2 linked regions of the Alligator mississippiensis genome follow. The protein of the gene in region 1 binds, or shares a complex with, the protein of each later gene. Links are inferred from orthologs where the notes say so. Each region holds a gene or a part of one and is shown on either strand. Other genes may lie near its edges. The genes, in order: FGFR2 and FGF8.

What was found.
Region 2: the proteins of FGFR2 (region 1) and FGF8 are in contact, whole or in part, in a crystal structure (PDB 2FDB), measured with the Homo sapiens proteins. The link is inferred for Alligator mississippiensis from reciprocal best matches to the Homo sapiens genes FGFR2 and FGF8. Residues at the interface, in NP_000132.3 of Homo sapiens: Glu160, Lys161, Glu163, Lys164, Leu166, His167, Ala168, Val169, Pro170, Asn173, Asp247, Val249, Arg251, Ser252, Ser282, Asp283, Ala284, Gln285, Pro286, His287, Ile288, Gln289, Ile291, His293, Leu309, Val311, Leu312, Lys313, Ala314, Ala315; in NP_149354.1 of Homo sapiens: His53, Val54, Gln57, Asp62, Leu64, Ser65, Arg66, Leu68, Ile69, Arg70, Tyr72, Tyr75, Arg77, Gly80, His82, Val106, Glu107, Thr108, Thr110, Phe111, Gly112, Ser113, Val115, Thr148, Glu149, Ile150, Val151, Leu152, Glu153, Asn154.

The regions. Positions count from the first base shown.
Region 1 is NC_081829.1:85,695,396-85,699,305, forward strand, and holds the start of FGFR2 (fibroblast growth factor receptor 2), read left to right. Parts: upstream 1-1,075; 5' UTR 1,076-1,160; intron 1,161-3,910. UniProt on the Homo sapiens protein: Tyrosine-protein kinase that acts as a cell-surface receptor for fibroblast growth factors and plays an essential role in the regulation of cell proliferation, differentiation, migration and apoptosis, and in the regulation of embryonic development.
Region 2 is NC_081829.1:100,259,348-100,263,257, forward strand, and holds the start of FGF8 (fibroblast growth factor 8), read right to left. Parts: upstream 2,786-3,910; 5' UTR 2,276-2,785; coding exon 2,078-2,275; intron 1,721-2,077; coding exon 1,540-1,720; intron 1-1,539. UniProt on the Homo sapiens protein: Plays an important role in the regulation of embryonic development, cell proliferation, cell differentiation and cell migration. Required for normal brain, eye, ear and limb development during embryogenesis.

The sequences.
Region 1 (3,910 bases):
GTTCTGAGTAGTGCTTGTAGTGGCTCCTGTAATATAGATAAATGCCTGTGGGGGGTGCAAAGTATGCCAAGGACCTCTCCTACCCACTGGAACGTGCCTGGAACAACCCTTTTCCACCGGCCGTGAATTCTTAGAAGTGCAACAAAGCATCTCACCCAGCATCTCTACTAATTCTCAGAGCTGCTGGATCTCTCAGTTCTGTCTCTTTTTCCCTCTATAAATGTGTCTCAGTCTTTCATTCGTCACAGTGCTGGGCCAAGACGCACATCTTTTTTAAATAACATGGACCAGAAAATGTGGAAATTTTGAAGTCGTAGCTCCCTTGGAGAGAGCCAAAACATGTTTACTTTTTTATATTGTTTGATAATAAAGAGCAGAGCATGAAAACAAAATGCAGCTTTGTCAAGAATGTTGATTATATAAAAATCAATATGTAACTGGGGCGCTTACAACCGAACATATCCATTGTCCTTCTTGGTTTAAAACAAAAGGATTGCAGCAGCAAGACCTTGCTTAACTTGGGGTCAACTTCTAGTTGCAGCATGCAATAATAACAATCCAAGGTATGTACAATTTACAATACGGTATATGTACACTGGTATATACTCCAAGTAAAGATTCTGCTTTCATCAGTAAACCTTATCCTGGTTTCAAGGAGAGGTTAATTCTGGGGATGCAGATCATATCTGTCCTTGAGCCCATTAGTATGGCTATGCAGATGGCCATACCTTAACCCCCACTGTAGCCAAGATCTAACCCTCAAAAATCAACTACCTCTTTCCTTGCAGAAATCCAGAGGCCTCTCCCTACCCTTCACCCGAGAATCTGGGGGCTTTTCATATGTTAATCAGTAAACATTGTTGTAAATTCGATTGCTGCAATATATACAGGGAGATGGCTTGAAAGTATTGTTTTGCAGAGCATTACTCTGTGGTGTACAGTTCATCTTAAGGCACTCAGTGAGTTAACTTTGCATTGTGATATCATTTCTGAGTTACAAGTCAGCCTCTTTGTATGAATGCCACCCACACAATAGGAGAGAACTGTCAAGCTGCAACATGCAAGAGACACCTAGACACACCTATTGAAGCCATGCTTTGCCTGCCTTGGTGTGTTGCATTCCTTTAGCCTTCGCATATCGAATGGAAAAAAGCAATCAGGTACCGTACACTTTATTTGGAAATTTTCTCTGCCAAACGCAATAGACGTCCTCTGTACTGCAATGTATAGACAATCATAGGAACAGCATCTTTGTAGCACATTTTCCTGCCGATTCATAACTGCATACCGTACATCAGTTTGTATGTTATGCTCATGGTGAAAACAGCTGCTTGCATGTATATCTCGTGCCACAGTGTTTTGCCTTAGCATTTTGATTTAATCATACTTTATGCTATGTGTTTTATTTTATTAGCTGAGCAGTGGGAAATGCAAGGAAAATGTGGGTTTGATATTGTTTTTCTGTGCAAGTTCCAGATGGACAAATCCTTTAGTAACAGCACTGGGTTGAGCACTGTACTGGAAGCCGGGAACTACTTTGGTTTATTTCTGAAGCCGTCTTACATTTGCTGGGTGGCCTTGGACAAGCCATAACCCTGTGTTTGTTTCCTTAACTTCAGGATGAGAATAATACTTTTCTTCCTTATAAGGGTACTGGACAATTTAGTTTAAAAAAAAGTGTTGCTGAGGTATTTCACTCATACATGTATAGATGGAGTTAGAGGCATAATTATATTATTTGCTCCTGGGTGTTAAAGTCATACAAACAGGAGGGGAGATGGTATTTCAAAAAGCAGCAACTCCGACTGGAACATAGAGTCATGGTAGACAACCAGCTGCAGTTACAATCTGGTGCCTGAGAGAGCTAAAACACTTTTTGGAGATAAAACATGGGGAGGCAGAAGTAGGAAAGTGATAGTACTGCTGTACATGACATCAGTGAGACAGCTGCCAGAAACCTGTCCAAGTGTGGTTTCATTTTAAAAAGAGTATTGGCAAATTGGAAAGGTTTCAGTAAAGAGTTACCACAGTGATCTGGGTCCTGGGAAACCTGCCTTACAGTGACAACTAAAGAAGCTCAATTTGTTGAGTTTGTCTAAAAGCTGCCTATGTAAGGAAACTTGGGTACAGTAAGCTATGGTATGAATCTACAGTGCACAGGATACATTGAACTAACTCTTTGAGGACACCCTTAGTGGACATCAGACTATGTCACATGTTTCTGTGCAGACCAGCCCTTTGACAAAGTACTTTGATTGTGGTCTAAAAGGTACCTACACAGGAAAGAGACTTGTGATAGTAAATGGCTCAGTAGCATTGAAAAGACATAAGAAAACTAAAGTTGGTCAAACTTAGAATAGGAATTTGGAATAAAATTGGAGTAGGAATGAGGAATAAGGTTCATATTCCTGTTAGGATAATTGACTACTGGAACAGTTTATATAGGGAGGGGAAGGATTCTCTGTTGCTTAAAGTGTTAAATCTAGATTTAACATTTTTCTGAAAGAGACAGCTTGACCAGAAGTTAGTTGAGGTGGCAGCTACTGGAAGAAGTTTTTTGGGTTGTGTTATGCAGGAGGTCAAATTAGATGACTGAATTGAAACTTCTGGCCTGAAAAATCCATTAAAATACTAGGTTTAAGATGTTATAGTGAAGTATCACTTTCCATGATGGCTTGAATCTTTCACTTATGGTTTAGTTAAACCTCTTACATGAAGAAATGGGCAAATAAATACGGTATACTTGTGGTGAAAATAGATTTCCCAATTTGTAGTGTTTGTGATCACCCCTTCCCCCTTCCCATTTTCCCTAATTGCCTCTCTGTGAACTTAAATGTTCCTCACTTAGAAGGAATACACCACAAACTCCTCTAAAGCTTTCTGTCACCCTTTTCTTCCATCTTTCTCATATAGGAGGTTGGATCCCAGGTTGGATCTTAGTAAGGTATCATGGTGGACAGTAGGTCACTAGGATATGTCCTGGATAAAGTAGCATAGTCCAATATACTTCAGAACTCCATTCTGTTCATCCTCCTGCAGAAAATGTTTGTAGTCATGGAAGGCATCTTAACTGTGAACATATTTTCCTATTGCAAAATTTGTCCATGTGTTTAAGATTCAGAGGAATGCAAAACGATTTAATGCTAGTTTCTGCAAGTTATTTAGGGCATGAGGTTTTTTTGACTTCCTTGACTTTCTGTGTCATGTAGTATATACATACACTTTCTGAAAGTCACTATAGCTGCTGTAATGTAGACTTTGGCTGCAGTATTTTTACACTCCACCAAGTGCTAAACACCAGAATAGTCCTTGGAGCCATGAGCAACTTGATGGTTGGAAAGAACAGAGTTGAAAAACACAGTATGTTACTGAATGTCTGGAAACCTGTTTTGTGCCCAGGTGGCTTACAGCATTGTTAGGTTACAATTATGTGGGGAGGGAAATTTTTGACAGAAAAGGCCTGATTGTTATATGTATTTTTTTCTTCCTATAAACAGTGGCAATGCAAAGGGGTGCATGTGTGTGCATGTGCACCCCCTGAGATCAGCCGTGCACTCCCTGGAAGCACCAGCCACAAAACCGGAAGTGCCAGCAGAAGTTCACTTCCAGTTTTGCTGCTGGCTTGGCAATTGGCTGCTGGGGGGCCACCCCTGCTCCTGGTTCAGAGTCGGCTGCTGGGGGTCGGCAATTGGCCATGGGAGACACCCCCCTCATCGGTGATCTGGTGCCCCCCAGACTCAGGAGGCACCAGTCGCCCATGCCCATAGAAGTATAATTCTTTAGACTCTAAAGTGAAAATCATGATTCTTCCTCTGTGTGTATCTAATCAGTCATCTTATTACCTCTTAGGACAAACACTCCACTTTCTGTTGGTTTTTCTCATACAGTTGTCATGACCAGCTTCATGTAC
Region 2 (3,910 bases), about 15 Mb from region 1:
GGGCCGCGGCTCCGAGCCGGGGCAGAGGCCGGGAAGGGCACGGAGGCCGGACGGGCGCGTCCCACCGACAGCACGGCAGATCCCCGCGAGCGCCCGGCCCGCCGGGAAGGCGGCAGTAAAAACGTCCGAGCGGGCCGAGCGGTCGTTTGAGAAGATAAATCAGCCCTTTTCTTCCCGTCCCCAAACCCGCGAGCCGGACGCCTCGTGCGCGGGGCTGCGCAGCAGCGAGTCGCCGGGTCGAGCGGGGCCTTTTTTTGTTTGTTTCTTTTTCTTTCTTTCTTTCTTTTTTTTTTCGGAAAAAGCTTCAGGTTTTCGCCTCCCGACGTGACAGATTTATCCCAGTAAAATTATGTTTCTTGCTAAAACGTTGAAGGGAAAGTGGCTACGTAAATGCTGAAAAAATGCAGCGAGACACACTTGATCCCCTAACTGGACTGCGAAGAGCAGAAAGTATTCAGGAAATGTTAAAAAAGGTGAAAGTAAGAAGAGTTTTAATCGCTCTTCCAGACATGGGGGTCTCTCTGGAGATTCATATAGAACAATCCTGAACCTCTACTTTCACATTTACAGACTCGCAGCCCTTTTAAAACTTTACATCTGAAAAACGGCTTGTTCTTTCTTGCTTTTTTTTTTCCTCCTGGTTTAGCTCATCCGTCATTTTTCTCTCTCGCTCCTCAAACGCTTCCCCTTTTTATTACGTTTTAATAGAGGTTTGCAAGCCGCCGGGAGCTCCCCCTGCCTCCTCCTGGCCTCGGTTAAACTTGGTCGTGATTTCCAATGTGCAGTAGCCGCCTTTTAAAAAACACACGCGCCGGAGACGCGGAGAGCGCGCCGGGGCCGGGGGGAATCGCCTCGCGCCCTTTTGATCCGGAGGTGGTTTGGGATAAGGCGGCTGGCGGCCGAGGCGACGCGGGGCGCGAGCGTTTAAGTGCACACTAACGTTTCCAAGCCAAAGCACCGGAGGGGAAAGAAAAGCCCGGTGTTTCCACGCCTCTCCCCGAGTAAGAAAGGGAAACCGCTGCTCCAAGGAGAAGCAGGCGCAATTCCTGCGTGCGGTGCGGTCCCGCGGTGCTGCACCGTGCGGGCGAGGGGCCTGCCACCTCTGCGGGCTCTCCTGCCGTGCTGATGTCGGGGTCTGACCGCTTCAACGTGCAACTCGCACACGCGCCACCCAGGCACGGAGCGGCTCTCCCGCGCACCCCACGAGGGAGCCGCCTCTCGGGGCCGGACCCTGCGCCCGGATCCTTCCCGGCACCGGACGGCACTTGTCCCTTGAGAGTCGGCCTCCCCGGCCCCAGCTCGAGGACCGCTCGGGATTTCTGGCAGAGAGCCGTGCCCTCGGAAAGGGTCCGCTCAGGGACAGGGGACTCCACATTTATTTGGGAGGGGGATTTCTTTTTTAGCTATATGTGCAACCCTGGAAACAACCTGCCTCTCGGCCCTGCCAACGACCCCGCGCACGGTCTCCCAGCCCCGCGAGGCGGGCGCCCTTCACCCCTCCCGGCTCCCGAGGAGGCCGGGACCGGCCCGTGCCCTTACCGTGGGCGTCCCCGTCCTCCGCCATGGCGTTGATTTTCTTGTTGTCTAGGATCTGGACGTGCTTCCCGCTGGTCCGGCTGTACAGCTGGTAGGTGCGGACGAGCCGCCGGCTGAGCTGGTCCGTCACCAGGCTTTGCTCCCTCACATGCTGTGTAAAATTAGGTGGGGACTGAACAGTTACCTTTAGGAAATTAAAAAATATACAACACACCATTACGATCTCTGCTCCTCGGAGGGGCTGACGGGCTGCGCACGGGTCCCCGGCCTCCGGGGGCATCTTAGAGGGCCGCGAGCTGCGCTCTCGGGGGCTGCCTGCACCCGGCCCGGTGGGGAGATGCCCCGTCCAGGGCACTGGACGCAACAGGCTGCCCTGGGTCGATGCCGCCAAGACAGGAGCTGGGATTTGCCCCCCCGCCCATCTACCCATGCTATTATTTATGCACGCAGAGCCGCGTAGGGCTGCTAACGTCCTTTTTAACGAGGGCCGTCTCTTCCCAGCCCGCTGCCCTGCCTTCTCCGGCCCTTGCAAGCCACCTACTTGCGACTGCTGACGGCAGCCCCCGAGCTCCCTGCGTGGAGAAGCAAGAGGCCTGGCCCGGCCCCGGCCCTGCTTGCATTTCTCATCAGCTCCTTTTATCCCGAGGCCGGTCGGGGGCATCGGACCCCGCTCCTGACACAACCAGCCTGGACTTTTCCTTCTTGCCCCCGGCTCCCAAGCCCAGCTGGCCCCCGACATCTCTACACATCCCAGCAAACGCGGAGGAGACGGATCCTTTTGGCCTCCGAAGGGGGCACAGCGCGGCCCCCTGGTCTCCCCCTCCCCGTGCGAGACGCGAAGGCTGCCTCGCCGCCTCCCGCACGGAAAAATAAAAGGGGAACGATTTAAAAGCAATCGCTGCCCGAAGCGGAGGCCGCCAGCGCTCTGCCCCCGGCAGCTGGGTCTCTCTGTCTGGATGCGCCCGCTTCGTCGAGGGGGTTTGGGGGCATCCGAGGAGGGCTTGGCCCCTCCTGGCTCCCTTCCCCTCGCTCTCTCCCACCGCCCCGGCACCTGTAATCTCTCGCACCCCCTTGCAAAGCCCGGCTCCTGGCCCCACAGCCAGGCGGGTTCGGTGCCAGCCCCGCCTGCCCCGATTCCTCCCTTTGTTTTGGGGGCTGCGCCCTCCGAGATTGCCCCGCGCGTCCCTTCCTGCCCCGGGACTTCCAGTCTCGTTCCTCCCGCCCCTCCCGGGGCACCCGGCCGGGCCGGCGCTCACCTGAGCCTGGAGGCAGAGGACGAACAGGTGCAGGAACCTGGCGGGAGAAAGCAGAGAGGAGGCGGGGTGAGCGCGGAGCCGAGCCGAGCCGAGCCCCGACCCGACCCGACCCGGACCCGGACCCGACCCGGCGGCGGCTTACAGCGAGCGGAGCAGCGGGGCGGGCGGCGGCATGGTGCGGCGTTGGCGGCTGCGGGCGCTGCTGCCCCGGCCCCGGCCCCGGCCCCGGCCCCGGCCCCGCGCGGGGGCGGGCGGGCGGGCGGCGCGCTCCGCGGCGGGGCAGCCCCGGGCTGCGGGAGCCGGGCGAGCGGGCGGGCGGGCGGGCGCGGCGCGGGCGCTGTCAGCGCGGAGCTCGGGGCGCGGGGCCGGGGCCGGGGCCGGCACTGCGGGGCCCACACCGCACCTGGGCGGGGAGGGACGGCCGGAGCGAGGGCGGAGGAGGAGGAGGGAGGGGCGGCGGGACCGGCCCGGCCCGGCCCGGCCCGGCCCGGCCCGGGGGCAGTGGCGGGGGGGCGGGGGGGCGTGCACACGAGTGTGTCTGGGTGTGCGTGCGTGTACCGCGTAGCTGCGCGCACGTGCGTGTGTGTGTGTGTGTGTGTATGCAAGGGAGAGGTGTGTGCGCGTGTGTCCGCATGCATGGGCACGGGGGCTGTGTGCGGGATGTGCGCGCGTTTGTACACACGTGTGCGCACGTGTGACAGGGGATGCGCGGATGTGGATGTGTCTGTATCTGCATGGGGGGGGTGTCGTGGGGGGGTGCAGGGGGTGCGGGCGCGTGTGCATGCATGTGTACATGTGTAGGGTGTGTGTGTGTGCCCATGTGTGCATACATGGGCAAGGGGGGGAGTATGGGGATGTATGTGCACGGAGGGGGGTGTACATGGGCACCTGCGCATGCACGCACAGGAGGCATGTGTGTGTGTGTGTGTGTGTGTGTGTGTGTCCACACACTCTGGCAGCGTCTGAACTCAGCCCCTCTCCAGTGTGCAGCGATGGCCTGGAGCGCGGGCGAGCGAGGGCTGCCCTTGCGTGTGCATGTAGCACGCCGCGCACGCCCCCAGTGACTCCCAGCCCCGGGGCTCCTGCGCGCAGCCGGCTCGGCCCCGGCCCCGGCCCTG